2 linked regions of the Xenopus tropicalis genome follow. The protein of the gene in region 1 binds, or shares a complex with, the protein of each later gene. Links are inferred from orthologs where the notes say so. Each region holds a gene or a part of one and is shown on either strand. Other genes may lie near its edges.

The links. The genes of interacting proteins can lie anywhere in the genome.
Region 2: the proteins of xirp2 (region 1) and nebl are in contact, whole or in part, in a crystal structure (PDB 4F14), measured with the Homo sapiens proteins. The link is inferred for Xenopus tropicalis from reciprocal best matches to the Homo sapiens genes XIRP2 and NEBL. Residues at the interface, in NP_689594.4 of Homo sapiens: Pro2420, Pro2421, Pro2422, Thr2423, Leu2424, Pro2425, Lys2426, Pro2427; in NP_006384.1 of Homo sapiens: Tyr963, Asp964, Tyr965, Asp969, Asp971, Glu972, Ile987, Asp988, Asp989, Gly990, Trp991, Met1004, Pro1006, Asn1008, Tyr1009.

The regions. Positions count from the first base shown.
Region 1 is NC_030685.2:69,626,949-69,635,368, forward strand, and holds part of xirp2 (xin actin-binding repeat-containing protein 2), read right to left. Parts: intron 7,017-8,420; coding exon 6,918-7,016; intron 5,562-6,917; coding exon 5,489-5,561; intron 4,337-5,488; coding exon 4,227-4,336; intron 3,251-4,226; coding exon 1-3,250.
Region 2 is NC_030682.2:27,396,548-27,404,967, reverse strand, and holds part of nebl (nebulette), read right to left. Parts: intron 7,772-8,420; coding exon 7,667-7,771; intron 6,540-7,666; coding exon 6,432-6,539; intron 5,489-6,431; coding exon 5,378-5,488; intron 5,299-5,377; coding exon 5,188-5,298; intron 4,991-5,187; coding exon 4,880-4,990; intron 3,647-4,879; coding exon 3,536-3,646; intron 2,313-3,535; coding exon 2,202-2,312; intron 960-2,201; coding exon 849-959; intron 1-848. UniProt on the Homo sapiens protein: Binds to actin and plays an important role in the assembly of the Z-disk. May functionally link sarcomeric actin to the desmin intermediate filaments in the heart muscle sarcomeres.

The DNA.
Region 1 (8,420 bases):
AAACTGCTTCTTTCACATCCCCTTTATTAATGTCTTCTTTTCTTACAGTTTTTATATTTTGATAATCCTCTTCATGAATGTCATCAACAGAGTGTGTTTCAAATAACCAGGTTGAGGTTTTAACGTTGCCTTGCTTAATTTCACTTATGCTAACTGTTCTAACATATTTGTTATTTGTATCATCTTCCTCTTCAAAACGTTGTTTATTGCCCTTTACATCACCACCTTGAACATCTTCAATTGTACGGAATACTGATTTTGTGTCTTCAGATATCGTATCTAGTGACTGGGTTTCAAAACGATATCGAACAGAGTTGACGTCTCCTTTTTGAATATCTTCTTGTGTAACAGCTTTTATGATATAAACTTTATCCGAATCTTGAAAAGAGTCCAAGGGCTTTGTCTCAAACAACCACCTTGTTCCTCGAACATTTCCATGAGACACTTCCTCCTTCTTTACAGTTGTCACTTCATGATAAAATCCTTCCTTATCCTGAATAGCATACAAAGGCTGTGTTTCAAACATGAGAGTATAATTTTTCACATCCCCTTTTATTATCTCTTCTTCATTAATTGTTCTTGTAAATGACTCTTCAGAATTTTTGTCTGTAATCTGATCCAATGAAAAAGTTTCAAAAATGAAACATCCTTTTCTCACATTGCCACCTTGGACATCGCTAATAGCAAATTCTGACTTGTTTTTCACATGGTCTTCATTAATTTCATCAATAAAATGATTCTCAAACAACCACTTGCAACTAAGGACATTTCCATTCTGCAGGTCCTCTTGATTCATGGTTTTTATTTTTTGCAGCACTTCTTCAGAACTTGAACTAATTTTATCCAAAGGTTGATTTTCAAAAATATACTTCATAGAGGATACGTCACCTGACTGTATGTCAATTTCAACAACTCTTTTGAAGTCCCTTTTCCCTTCTTCTTGTATGTTGTCTAAATTTTCTGTCTCAAAAAGAAAGCATACTCTTTGTACATCTCTGCCTTGAATATTCTTTTGGTTTGTAGTCTCTGTTTTTTCTGATTCATCGTGTATCGAATCTAGAGGTTGTGTTTCAAAAAGCCATGTGCAGGTTTTAACATCTCCCCTTTGAATGTCTACATCGGCTGATATCTTATCTTGTTTTTCATAGAGATCTTCCATTTGTTGAGTTTCAAATAGCCATTTGCACATCTTGACATCTCCTTTAACAATTTCAGTTTGGTTTTCTGTGATTATTTCTTCATCCTCTGCGTTACTAAAATATTTAATAGAATCCAGAGGCTGTGTTTCAAAAAGCCATTTACCCGTTTTAACATCACCAGATTGTATTTGCTCGGAAGATATACCTTTGATAATCTGATAATTCTCAACACTTCTTTCTCGAAATTGGTCAATGGGTATAGTTTCAAACATCCACTGGCAGCTCTGTACATCACCTCTTACAATATCTTCCTTACGGATTGTTTGGACTTCATGAAAATGGCCAAAACGATCCTGAATTGCATAGAGTGGAGTTGTTTCAAAAAGTTTTTTATTAAGCTTTACTGCACCCTTGTCAACATCTTCAACTGCAATTTTATATGTTAATTCGCTTTTTGTAAGATCTCCTTTCTCGAATGCATTTTTACAGCTGATCACATCTCCTTTATGAATTTCATCAAGTTGGACAGTTCGGACATGTTCTTTGTGGTCTTCTCCTATCTCTCCAAGTGATTTTGTTTCAAAAACCCATCTTTGATGGCGTACATCACCTTTTTCATCTTCCATGGTAACTATTGGTTTCAGTTTGCCCACCTCAACACTTTCCTTAAGTTCATCCATTGGCACTGTTTCAAACAAATATTTAGTATTACTTACATCCCCTCCTATTATCTCTTCTCCTTGCATAGGCCTTTCATTGGCATTATCTTTAAGCATGTCCATGGGAATAGTTTCAAAGACCCAACATTTTTGATACACATCAGAACCAATTATGGTTTCTTTTTCTGTGACAGAGCTTTCTACTTCTTTAATTGTATCCAGAGCTTGAGTTTCAAATAGCCACTTTGCTTTTCCTACACCCCCTGTAAGGTTTTCTTCCAGTGATATGCCCCGAACAACTTTAACTTCTACTTCATCCTGGTTGATTGTATCTAAAGGCTGAGTTTCAAACATCCATCTTGCTGTTTTCACATCTCCTTTCTCTACATCTTCTCTCCGAATAGTTTTAATTTCTAGCATTTTTCCAGAACTATCCTTTAAGACATATTTAGGTTCAGTTTCAAACTGCTTTATTGTTGTTTTAACATCACCTTTTAACTCCTCAAGTTCTGAGCTTAGTCTCAGTGAACTGATTTCATTTTGAAAAGTAGATTCAAATAAATGCTTTCCTAATTTTACATCGCCTCCTTTAATTTCTTCAGTGGTTTCCAATGTGTTAGATAAGTCGTCCTCCTTATAAATTTTATTCAAACAATCTAGTGGCTGGGTTTCAAACAACCAGGTAGCTGTCCGCACATCACCCCTTGCAAGATCAGGGACTTTTTCTATATTCTCAGTAGCAGTGGAAATGTCCACACCCAAAGCATCAATTGGTTTTGTCTCAAACATCCATGTTGCATATTTGACATCTCCTCCTGCAATGATCTCTTGCTCTCCAATACGTTTGATATGGCTTGGCTCTGGGGATTCATCTTTGATTGAATCTAAAGGTTGGTTTTCAAAGACCCATCTCATTGATTGCACTTCACCTTTCAGAATTTCATCCCATTCCAGATATTCTCTCTCTGGGCTAATGCACTTTTGAGGACTACCCACTGGATTTTCAAATGCATACTTGACTTGTTGTACATCTCCTTTAGCCTCACCAAGTTGTTCAACTTTATTGGCAACAATGTCAGAAACTTCACTATAAAACTCCTTTTGTAAGTTCTTTCTAAGTTCTGGATGAATATGTTTGTATAAACGTTTTAACTCATAGAGATTCCTTTGCTTGGCGTATAATTCTTTGGACATGGCACATGGTTGCTGTTCTGCATAGCTGGGGGGCTCTGGGGACTGGGAAAAATCTGCCAATTCCTCTGTCTCTAAAATATTTGGAGGAGGTGGAGGTGGAAACTCTTCTAAACTTCCAAATGAAGCTGAAGCAACATTATCAGAGGATGTAGTATGCACGCTTGTCTCCTCAGTCACTGCATTTTGGACTCTATTTGCTGAGTTGCTATGGATGGTAGTTACCACTGGCCACTCAAATTCTGGATGCTCATTATAGATCTTTAGGGAATAAGATACACAATTTTCATTTGCATGGACTAAAATCATGTTCTAAAACAGAAACATCGGACTCATGTGCCTGACCCCCAAAATTGAAGACTATAACCCTCAGAATCCTGTGGACTTGAAAGATGTTGGATATTGCAGTTTATAACACGAAAATGCCTTATATTTTTATATTGTTTATAAATTATATGTGCTAATTTAAAATCTCCTCTTTTAAAGGCACATCTATAGCTGCTCACATCCCCTTTATGAATTTGTTGACATTATATTCCATGGTAACTATTTGTTTGTTTGCCAATTTTAATTTGTATACCAGACTCTTAACCAGGGGGGTGTTAGACCCTTAAGACACCAGAGAGTCTGAAAATGATGTAAATTATACTTGATAATAGCGGTATGCTTTGATTTCAAATAGACAGACAAAAAATTTTTTTAATTTTTTATTAAAGGAAATATTAGTTCTATTACTTTTCTCAGCATTATAGTGCAGGGATAATATTATAAGCAGTGAAAAATAAAATTGGTAATATGACCTTTTAAAAAGTAGTTAATAATTACAAATAGTCCAGTGCCAATTTCCTAAAATATACACCAGTCCTAGGAGCTTGGCTGGAGAGGGGGCATTTTTTGATAGAACAAGTGCACTGGCCTAGGGCAGAAGATTTGGGTTGGTGTCTAAGAGTAGTGGCACATGGGGAGATTAGTTACCCATGGTTAAATCTCGGCTACCACAGGCGACTAATCTCCCCATATGGCATGTCAGTGGAGAGGCATTTTGGGGAGATTAGTTACCCACAGTAGCTGAGATTTAACAGCGGGCAACTAAACACGCTGCGTGCCACTACCCTAACAAATTATTACCCCTAGTGAGATCCTTTGTTCTTTAGCTGCTAAACAAGGGCTATTGAGTTTTTAGTTCTACTTCTAAAAGACTCCATTGTATATACTTATTACAATAAGACATAAATACCTTTGAATGCTTTGGTTGAGAAACAGCGCTTGAATGAGTCTTGGCTCCTTTCTCCTTAAGAGATTTTTCAAATTGTTCTTTGAGAACTTGTGTTGAAATCTTTGGTAGTTCTTCATAATTGTATATAAAAAAGAAAGAAGAAAAGTGAAGCTTAGATTGTTGCTAAGATAATAGACGGCTTAGTCTTCTCTCACTCTGGGCAAGAGAAAAAGAATATTTCACAATAAGCATAGAAAAGTTTTTTTGTTTTTTTTACGTTCAAGACGGTCATGCTATGCAATTCCTTTCCAAGAAAGATGTAATTGCAGGGTTAAAAAATATGTAGGGTGCTTTTCTACTTAACAGCTATAGATATTGCCACTTTGCTGGTCAGTGGGTTTCCTGGGATTTCTATCTTTTCCACAAAAAGCCTTCCCTGGCATCTAACCTATTTTCCAGAAACACAGGGCTATGGCACAAGGATCAGAATTGTGTAGGTGCCACAGCCATACAAAAGGTGATCTAAACTTCATAAAAATTGTTGCGTGCTGTTTGTCTTGGTGGTGGCCTTCTCGTTGACTTTTTGGATCAACCTACAGACACCTCCTTGGTTTTGTTGATCCTACAGAGGCTTCTTCTGCTACTGGAAGAATTATTTTAAGTTTGTATTTATTGAATTTGAGGTCTCCACCCAGAGGTTCCAGAGTAAAGGTGGCCATACACGCTAAGATCCACTCGCTTGAAGAGGTCGCCAAGCGAGCGGATCTTCTCCCCATATCTCCACGTATGGATGGGCAATATCAGGCTAACTTGGTCGTTTGGCCCTGGGTCCAAACAATCAAATTAAGATGGCAAGTATAGGCACCTGTCAGTTTGGGGAGCGCATCAACGAACCGATGCTGTCCATGATCTGACAAAAAAAATCAAACCTGCCTGATTAAGATCTGGCCAATTTCAGGCCAGATGTTGGTTGGGCAGGCCCATCGTTAGTGCCCATACATGGGCTGATAAGCTGCCGAATTGGTCTAAGAGGCCAATATCAGTAGCTAGAATTGGCCCATGTAGCCAAATCATAATTGCTGTATTACATACTGTACATACCTGCTTGTAGCACAACGACCCTGGAAATTATATTCCCATAGCAAGAGTTTGAGCGTACATATAAAATAAAATGGTTTTTTGATCACTAGTACGCTCACATGTTAAATTTCAGATCTAAATTTTCTACTCCAGTGCTTTCAGTCATGTAGCCTTTCCAACCAAATCCAAAGCAGAATTCTTACCTACTTCATCATCTTCTTGATTATAATTAGATGCTGTGCTTGTCTCATGGGTATGTTGCTGATGCACAGAAACCTAAGTAAAGTAAATGATGGCATTTAAAAAAAAAAAAAAAAATAGCTTTATTAGCAGACTCTAAGCTTCAGTAAACATCTGGAAAGGAATTTTACTAAAAGTCTAGATTCAGAATATGTTTTCCTAGAGTTTCTTAGAACAAGTACATACAAATAATTAGCGAAAATAAAGTAATCACTTGAAAGGAGAGACACAGAGTAAACTAAGAGCAGGTGCTTCCATACAGGAGTTAAAGGAACAGTAACACCAAAAATTGAAAGCGAATAAAAGTGATTATGATATAATGAACTGTTGTCCTGAACTGGTGTGTTTGAAAGACTACTATAGTTTATATAAACAATGCTGCTGTAGCCACGGGGGCAGCCATTAAAAGGAAAAAAGGCACAGGTTACTTAACAGAAAACAGATAAAGCCCTATTATATTCTACAATGCTTATCTGTTACCTACTATGTAACCTGTGCCTTTTTTTCCAGCTTGAATGGCTGCCCCTATAGCTACACAAAAGCTAATTTATATAAATTATAGTAGTGTTTCTGTATAAAAAAAACCAAACAGTTTTACCAGTGCAGGGCAACAGTACATTATATTTAAATTACGTTAAAACGCTTTCATTTTTTGGTGTTACTGTTCCTTTAATTATTCAGTAGATAAACCATCATGATAAAGATCATGGCATACTGTAAAAAGAATAAAGGCCTCTGGGCCGGTACATGTTACTAAGATCTATTACAGCTAGAGAAATAGATCTGAGTGATTTGGAGGGAGGGGGGGGGGGTTATTGACAGGAGGGATGGTAATTGGATGGAAAGATATTATCAGATGGGGCGAGTGGGGGGAAAGGTGCACTCTTAATGACCAGGCATTGGTAAAGACAAAGAAGTAGTTAATACAACCAAGCAATACAATCAATATGCGCTATAGAAAGATAGAGCTCCAAGGTTAGGAAGCAGTTCAATAAGGCTCATTGGTGCTCATTGCAGCATCATTTATTAACTTGGACTCTGTATGCTTCTCAGAACAGGGAGGACTGTAATCACCTCTATTCATGAAGAAGGCAGTGTTTACAGAGCTTCATTCGTATGTAGCAGCTGACTTCCCTCTGGCCTTGTGTGTTTTATCAAAAAGCAGGTCAGATCCCAACACCGATCTACCTATGGGATGTTTTTGACACTGCCCCCTTGTGGTTCTTATTGGAGCAGCGGCTCTGAGGTACTATGCTTTTGCTAATGGCACAGCAGGGTGGGATGCTCCATGTAAATGGGAACAAGTTGACTAACTTAATATCAGAAGGCCAACTGATGTGCGGTGCTTCTTTTATTTCAATAGATACCTGTACATATTGCATTGATGCATACCTGTTCTGCATTTGCAGCTGTAAACTGGGATCTTTGCTCCGCTGCATGGCTGCTGCTACTGCTGCACGAGAATGTTACTTCTTTGCTCTTTCTTGTTTCCTAAACAAACAAAAATTGTAGGAGTATATATATTTATTTAGAACTGAGAATAAATAAATCAGCCTACAAAAAGAGAAATGAAATACTAATGCGTCATAGCAGCCTGATTGTGGCAGAATTGTAACCATTTTACCATAACACTGTCCCACTGCGCCCCCTAGTTTTGCTATAAAAGTTGCCAAAAAACGTAATTATAGCTGCAAGAAAATTCACCAGTGAGAATTCTACTATCAAAAACTTCATTATAAATGCAAAATAACTGACCAATGAGAATGCGGATTCCCAGCACTGTGTCAGGCATCTTGCTGTTATCTTACATATAGAGATAATTATGTAATTTTTTCCAACTCCAATTGCTGGAACAGAGAACATGGTGTCAGATTTACACTGATCAGCTGGGATTCTCATTTCTTGCATTTTAATGCAGTCCCTGGCCCTGGAGATTTCGGGGAAAGTTTAGGAAAAGTTTTATTGTGCAATATTGCTTTAAGAATACAACCCTGATGTTCCTGGACTACAGCTCCCAGCATGTCTCAGCCTTCATTAAATGTTACATTATTCTGGGATTTGTAGTCCAGCAACAGCCGAGTAAAGTTTGGTTGAGCAGTGCAGTACAGCAGGGTTTAGTGTCCCTTTAAATGTCACACACACATGCGTGTGTATACACATACACATACACTCACGCACATATGTAGACAAAAGCAAGTGCACATATGCATATGCTGTCGGCGAATAACAAGTATTTATACAGCACCAACATATTCCACAGTGTTGTACAATAAAATATTAAATGTACCAAACATACAGATTACATACAAATTTTGACCAATACAAAAGGTAAACATGGCCCTGCCCCTTGGCTTACAATCTATCAGGAGAAGTGAACATGAGTCACAAGATATGGGGCTGGGAATTATCAGGCATTAGAAAAGTAAGAAAATGAATACAGAGCTCAGCAAGTGGAAGGAGCTTACATGATATGAGAAAGGAATGGTAAATTTTTGATGATGTGGTTTAACCTATGGTAATATGTAGGAGTATGCTAAGATTTGTAGCCCAGGAAATTCTGGACAAAGAAAATCCTTGACAATGTGGCACTGGTAACAAGGGTATAGTGTGTGTGTGCCAAGATCTTGAGTTTGTCGTTGAACAGGAAAAATAATGCCTGCATATCATAGACCCATTGTGGTATCATCATCAAGTTGCTCTTTGTTTACTAATCTTCACTAATCGCTAATCTTCCAGAATCCATATCTACAGCAATGCCTAAGCCTGCCTATAAGGGATCTATGGGAAGGGGATGCACAACAACATTACAGAGGAAAAAAGATGTTTGCATAGCATAGACCCATTGTGGTATCATCATTAAGTCCATTTACATTGTTCACTGTAAGCGCTCAGTCT
Region 2 (8,420 bases), on another chromosome or scaffold:
TGGAAGTGGAGAAATTGGGACTAGCCCACTAGAACAGATTGAAAGCATGATTAGTTTAATAGTTCTGGGAATTGTGCTCAGCTTTTATTAACCAAATTAGGTATTGCTTATGGTTACTGTCAGATTGTTAGTTGAGTTTTCTCACGGCAAAATAGGCGTGGTTGCGGCAAAAAAAGACACGGGCGAAAAAAAAAGATGCAGGTGACAAATAGAACACTTTCTGAAGAACAGGGCAATGAGCAAAATTTAAATCAGAATATCCTGCAGATCGCTGGACATATTTCCTTACCATTGATTTTCAGCTGGCAGAGAGATTCTGCCAAGTAGCCTGTAATTAGTTTGAATGGAAACCTAGACTAGATCCATCAAACCCAAAGGATTTCAATTACATATATAATGTTATTACATTTGCTATGTCTATGACAGTCAGAAATTTGTTGAAAGGGGACGTTACCTTTGGGATAACTTTCAAGATGATGTAGACTGACATTCTGAGAAAATGCAAATTTGTATGTTATTTTTTTCGTTATTTAGCTATTTGTTCAATAGTTTTCCAGTTTGGTATTTCAGCAGCTATCTGGTTGCTAGGGTCTTATTTTCCCAGAGGTTTGAGTGAAAGTCTAGAATAACTAAAGTAAGGGCACTGAATAGAAATTTTAGTAATAAGTAACAATTACAATAAAATTGTATGCTCAGAGCAATACAGTGATCTTGGCAGTGAATGCTGGAAAAAGGTGGCAAATAATGAAGTTGCTAGGAATAGGACATTCTATAACCTACTAATAGTTAAATTAAAGGTCAACATTGTAACAGATATCTATGCAGTCAAACACCAGCTTTATACTGACCTGACTCGCAATCTCAGAGGCTTTCATAGCTCTCTGCAGGTCTGGAATATCTGGACCAACCTGCATTCCTTTCCCTTTGATCTCAGTTTCTAAGTCTTTCTTATATTCCTTCTGTAAAAAATAACACAAAAAAATGTAAATGGTGTACTGGATACAGAAATAATTTGATTCTGTGCCCTCTTTTTAGAGAATTAATATATAGCTAGTCACTTGGGCACCTCCGCTAGTTCTCCAGCATTCAGGCAGGAAAGTGGTGTGCTTCGTTGTGCTAACTCTCATTTTATTTAGCCCATTACTGAAAGCACACATTTTGTTATGAGATAAGGTTCTAGAATTGTACAGTTTATCCCACTATATAGCTTTTAAGCATTGGGTTTGAATAGATAAATCAAGAAATGAGTAGTGGACAAGCAATTGTTCTTTGATATTACAGAACATTGGAACCCCACCATCGTTTTTCAGCTGGAAAAAAGCACCCAAACCTGCCATTTCCAACTACTATTCACTTCCATGGGAAACATAGTATTTTATGGGAATTACTAGTACATAGAAGAAATCATCATCTGAAAATCAGATAAAATGCAGGCAAAACAAAGAGAAAATCAGTAAATACAACAGGGTGTAATTTAATATAGGAAGTGCAGCATACTTTGGGGTGCAGTCAGGTTTAATGTCAAAACAGATGTGCACAGATGCACGCACATGGGGTGGGGTTGCCGGTGCTGCTGGAGGGGGGTGATGCGGTGGGGGAAAGGGCCCTGAACTAGGGGTAGGTGAAAGAAGAGACAAAGTAAAAAAATATAAGGATTAGCTTTCAATATCAGTTTGTAAATGGATAATTTAAAGGGGACCTGTCACCCTAACAAATAATTACATATTCTTTTCTATCATGTTAGTTGAGCAAAATAAACATTACTTATACTGTATAATGTATTTACATTTTGTTTCCTTCAGTCTTGGAAATCACAGCAAACAGACAGGCGCCATTTTGTGGGCATTGTTATTAAGGCATGTTTTGTCTCACCCTAAAATCTTGTGCCAGAATGGGGGACCTAATGTCCATGGCCATGCAAAGACTACGCAAATATAGACTGTGAGAAGGGATGGGAAAGTGAGGAGTGCAATCTACAATGCTGAGTGGAAAGTGAAGGTAATTTACTGCCCCGCCTCTGTGTCTCAGGCAATATATGACAGCTCTGATTTTTAAATACTTTTATGTCTGGGAGACAGGTCCCCTTTAAACTTTTCTGAGAAATTAAATACAACTAAAATTATTAAAGCAGTGAATAAATGAATTCGGCTTTAACTTAAAATGGAAATGCATCTGTAATAAACCTGATGGTCTGTACCAACCTGGCTCACCATTTCAGAGACCCTCTTGACTCGCTGTATCTCAGGTATATCAGTCCCTACTTGCATCCCTTTCCCCCTAATTTCTCTTTCCAAATCTTTTGTATATTCTTTCTGTTTGAGAACACAAAAAGTAAATTTACTTTACCAATGGAAGTATGCCAACTATTTCATGTATTTTACATTTCATAACCCTTTTATTCTCTTAGTGCAGGTGCCTGAAAAACATAATTATTTTAATATGCAGGTATTGGACCTGTTATCCAGAATGCTTGGGACCTGGGGTTTTCCGGATAAGGGATCTTTCCGTAATTTATCATTTAAATATTGAATAAACCCAATAGGATTGTTTTGCCCCCAATAAGGATTATTTATATCTCAGTTTGGATCAAGTACAGGTACTGTTTTATTATTACAGAGAAAAGGGAATCATTTAACCATTAAATAAATCCAATAGGGCTGTTCTGCCCCCAATAAGGATTATTTATATCTCAGTTTGGATCAAGTACAGGTACTGTTTTATTATTACAGAGAAAAAGGAAATCATTTTATAAAATTAAAATAATTTGCTTACAATGGAGTCTATGGGAGAAGGCCTTTCCGTAATTCGGAACTTCCCCAGTGTATGCAGGGGCACTGCTAGCATGAGGCGAGCTGAGAAACTACCCTCAGACAGCAGTGCCCCCAAAGTAACCAGGGACAGCAAAAATTTGCTCCTGATAACTTTAAGAGTGAATCTCTGGTTTTTAAAATGTTTTCTCCTATTGTCCTTTCTTTAGTATATTTCCATGTTCCCTCTCTTTCTTGTGCATTCTGTGTCCCTCTTTAGATTTCCACATGAACTATTCCTCTCACTTTTTCATATTCCTTCTCTTCGCCTGTTAATACTATGCACCCAATTCACTTTTTATTGCTTTCTTTACAATGGTTCCACTTTCTCATATCTCACCTGGCCATTGCCCAACCTCCCCAGCTCTTCTTTACAATGGTTCCACTTTCTCATATCTTACCTGGCCATTGCCCAACCTCCCCAGCTCACTGTTTTTATGCCATGATCTTTAATTTACTGTTACTGTTGTCTTTTCACATTGCAACCTGTTTTTGTTTTCATTTCTCCTAAACCTCATTAATCTTTTATTCTTCAGCCAGGGGGATATTACTATTATTATTATTATTTTAGTTTGGTTGCATATCTGCATGGATCGGTGGAATATTCTGACCTCTAAATGTTTTCCAAATTTTTTTAGTATTTATAAAACAAATGAAAAAAAAACAGAAAAATGCAATTTACACATTAGTTTATGCCAAGGAACTCTGTGACATAGGTGTGTACCAACCTGGCTTACGATTTCCGATACCCTCTTGACCCGCTGTATTTCAGGCATGTCAGCCCCTATTTGCATTCCCTTTCCCTTAATTTCTGATTCCAAGTCTTTTTTGTATCCTTTCTGTTTGCAATCACAAGAAGAAAGTTTAAGTCTTGCACTGAAAGCTTTTTTTAAATATTTTACAGTGCATTTACAGTTTCACATTTAAATTCACTTTTAGTAGGTTATAGAAAGCAGCGCCGGAACTAGGGGTAGGCAGAAGAGGCAGCTGTCTAGGGCACAATTGGGGGGCGCCAGACAGAAGCCTCTCCTGCCTACCTCTAGTACGTTTTCTTTAGTCATTGCCCTCGCCACTTGTCATTACTCGGTGGGTGCAATGATTCATCGCGACACCACCCCAACTTGCCCCCCCTTGCGCGACTGCGCATGCGTGCCAAAGCACACGCAGCGGGGGTGGGGGGGGGAAGCGAGGAGAGGTGGCCAAGGGCACCCAGTCGGCTTGGCCCGCCCCTGATAGAAAGTCTTATCCCTAGCAACTTTGCAGTTGGTCTCACTATTTATTTTTAAATAGTTTATAAATTATCTGCCTTAAGGTGGCCATACACGGGCCGATTCTAGCTGACGATATTGGTCCCTTAGACCAAATCGGCCTGTGTAGGGGCACAAACGACAGGCCTCCCCGACCTGAAATCGGCCAGATATCAATTGGGCAGGTTTGAATTTTAGTCGGATTGGGGACCCCAAGGCCAAACGACCGAATTAGCCCAATATCGCCCACCCATAGGTGGGGGTATTGGGGGAAGATCTGCTCGCTTGGCAAGGTTGCCAAGTGTATCTTAGCGTGTATGGCCACCTTTACTCTTCTGCCTCTTTCCAGCCTTCAAATGGGGGTCACTGACCCAGGCATCCCAAAAACTATGAGTTAAAAATATTATTATTATTATTATTGTTACATTTTATTCCTTTTCTTCCAGTTCACCCTCCTATTCACACCACTGTCTTGTTGCTAAGGTAAACAAGACCCTAGCAACTAGATAGCTAATAAAATTCCAAACTGGAGGGCTGCTGAACAAACAGCTAAATAACTGAAAAAGCACAAACAAATAAAAATGATAATAAATTGCAGATTGTCTCAGAATATCAATGGCGATGTCACACTGACACTAAAAGTGAATTTAAAGGTAAACAATCCCTATAATGCTAAATATAGGGATAAATAATTATATCGTAAACCTTAGGTTCTAAATAATACAATGTTTTATAAGGGTAAAAATATTTATTGATCTAAATACATATTTTTAACAACTTGAAATCAATATTAATACATCAAACAAATCCAGGGTCTGTACCAACCTGGCTCACCATTTCAGTTACCCTCTTGACTCGTTGTATCTCGGGTATATCAGTCCCTATTATCATCCCTTTTCCCTTAATTTCGGTTTCATAATCCTTTGTGTATTCTTTCTGTACAGAGAGCAGAAAATACCTTTTTTCCAATATATGCAAAAGTAATAATAAATAGTTTACTATTGGTTGATCTATCCTTTCTCGCAGAAACTTTTATGAGGACAAAAGATAGGTGTTAAGAGATCAAAGATCAATATTTAAAAAACATTGCCTAGGTAGTCTTGACTGGTAAATCTAGTTTATTTTAAGATTACCTGGCTGGCTATTTCTGATGCCCTTTTTGCCCTGATCATATCTGGGATGTCGGCACTAAATTCCATGCCTTTTCCTTTAATATCATTCTCAAGGTCCTTGCGGTACTCTTTCTACAACAGACAAACACAATACAAATTATGTGGAAATAAATGATAACACTCACATATTGGGCACACTCACTGTTCATACCTCATTCAATATCTGAGCAGCATTCTTCACCCTTATTAAATCGGGGGTGTCTTCTAAGACTGTAAGACCTTTTCCTTTTATCCCTTCTTCCAGATCTTTTCTATATTCTTTCTAGAAAAGACCAGAAAACCACGCTTTTGTTTAGACTGTATGTTGGTATGGAAGACTCTTTTTGCTAATAAAATGCAACCTGACCAGCGTTAATTAGACAGAGCCACCTTGACGTGTTTATGGTGGCCTGGCAATCTTCTGACCAGAAATGCAGAAATAAAAACCCTTATTTTTTAATACATATGAATCATTTTTTATTGGCGATGATCTAAATTTTTGGTATGTATGGATTTGCAGCGAAATTCTGAATGCCATAGGTGAAACCACTGAAAAAAATTGCCATGAAAATCTTGGTGTCCAATATATTTTGCACGTAAAACGTTGCTGTGGGGAAATAGTTGCTGCGATAATGTATTGTGCATAGGAAAAGTAGTCCTGCTGCAAGACAGTTGCAGCAGAAAAAAAAAATTCCCATTGATATCAAAGTGTTTTGAAGATTTTCAACATTTCGTTAATTTTTCGACGGTTTTGCAAATTTTTTTTGTGAAGCGGAAAGGGACATATTTGCACATCACTAATTATTATTATTGGCCATGGGACACTGCTCAATCTCTTTTTTTCTTTGAGTCTCTAGCCCCATTCTTAAAATCCTTGTAAAACATTTAAAATGTTTTGTTTTTTGTTTTTTTAAATCCTTTGAAACCAGTATTGTATTTTCCTTTTTTTGTGAAATATATTGTTGTTTATTTATAAACACTTGGTAAATTTCCACCTATGCAGTAACTCATGGCAGCAAATTACATTACATTGCTTTCATTGTCTATGATTTACTCTCCATTATAAATTATTGATAGTAAGCTGACGAGTTTATTCCAGACAGGACATGAAATGTCTGCCTGCTTGTTAGTAGGAATGACTATTACAGTTCAGTTCAATTCTTACCCTGCATAGTGCAAGAAAAAACAACAAACAAAGTTTGAATTAATTGCACAAGTTCACTAACCTCACTCTGTATCTTCTGAGCCTCCTTTGAAACTTGATATGATGGAGTATCAACAAATTCAAGCAATGACCTTCCCTTAGACTTCTCATATTCCTCCTTGTATTTAACCTGCAAAATGGTCATTAATCAATCAAAGTACATTTTAGTACAAGAATTTGATTTGTACAAAGCCAGAGCTACAGGAAAAAAAAGACCTAGTGCCAAAAGAATCTCTTGTCATTTGCATTAACCCTAGATAGTTCTTGACAGTCAGGAGACTGCTGTAAGTAGTAGTTCTGGGGAGCTGGAGTTTGGATTTCCCTGATGTAAGGAGTGGGAAAATGTTTTTATTGAAATTACTGTTATTTTTAGTTACAGCCATAGATGTTAGGTAGGGCATTCCTCTAGGGAGGTTCTAGATCAGGGTCTTCTCTGCTGGAATGGAGCTGCTGGAGGCCAAGGATGGGCCAGGAACAGCGGAGGAGTTCACAAAAGTAGTGGAGAGGGACCAAAAGTGGACCCCATGAGCCTTTTAGCTAATTTAGGCCAAAGTACCTCATGTGTCTAATCAGCCAGATGTGCACATGGAAGCTACTGAGGAAAGTGACCCTGATGAGAGGACCAAAGCTGCTGGGGTCAGCCTGGCTGGGGAGCCCAAGAATGTAAGCAGCCAAAGAGATCTTGGTCCCAAGGTGCAGCATTATATGTCTTACAAAGACACAAGGGAAAGGTTTGACCATCTGGTCTGGGGTGTCCTTGCCCTTTAGAGACTACTGAGACTAGAGACAGAACTGTTGCCATCCACTATATCATATGGAGCTTTTGTTTAAGAGGCCCTCTTCAGCTGGAAGGCCCCATGTCCCTAATCTCCACTTCCCTTTTAAGAGTTTTACCAAAAGTGGGATCGATGTTGAACGGCAGCCAGGACACGGAAGAGCAGCCAATATGTATAAATAGTTTGTTTTTCTAATGCTAATAATGTTTTCCCTTTGAATCTTTAGTAATGCTATGTTTTAATATTTAATGGTGTTATTTTCTTTACAGCGAGCCAGTAAGGTGTATTTTGTACTTTTAACCTGCACATTTGCTTTCCATAGGGCCCTCTATAAGGCTATGTGCCTAAGTAGATGCCCTCTTCTAAAACTATGCATTAGGTGTTAGTTATGGGTGAAGTACATGCTCTTTTCTCAGTCGTCTTAAACTGGACTTGAGCTATTAGGAATTCCCACTAAATAGCTCTGCATTATATTTCTTACCTGGCTTTGCAGCACAGCATTCTCTTTGTGATGAATCTGCTCTGCTGTATCCAACGCAAAATGATAGATTCCCTTCTGTTCCTCAAATTTCTTCTTGTACATGTTCTATAAGACACAGACATTATATTATTATTATTATTATATTATATTTTTCAGGGGACCAGAAAAAATGTGCCATGCATTATATATTAATGGGACCATGGGAAAACCTAAAGTCAGGGTATGTAAAATGTAGGTTTCTCTGTATTGTTCTTACTATAGAATGTTTCAAGTGTAATGAGTCTCTGTCCCATTAAGCTTACAATGAAAGACTGGTGACTAAGGCACTTAAAGGATAAGTAGCAAATTCAAAGTCACAAGAAAAATGATTCAATGAGACTCAGGACTTTAGACATTTAGGCACTTAAAGGGGAACTCCACCCAAACCCAACTTATGCTTTTTGAAAAGTAAACATAATTTCAAGCACCTTTACAATATACATCAATTAAAAATATGCAACCTCTTCATGATTTTTAATGTAATCGTATGGTTTGGAACAGTTCCCAAAGAATGGCCACCTGTTTCCCTGCTGACCTGCTGACTACTTTATGACTCAAAAAAAAAATGTAATAATAGTTGACTGTCCTCAGCCTGCATCCTCCTAATCCCACAATTCCCTGCACACAAGATGTCAATAAGGAAAGTAACATCTAAGTGCAATGCATTGTGGGTTATGTAGTTCTTGCATGCTGTCTGTAAGTTGTGGTCAAGTTA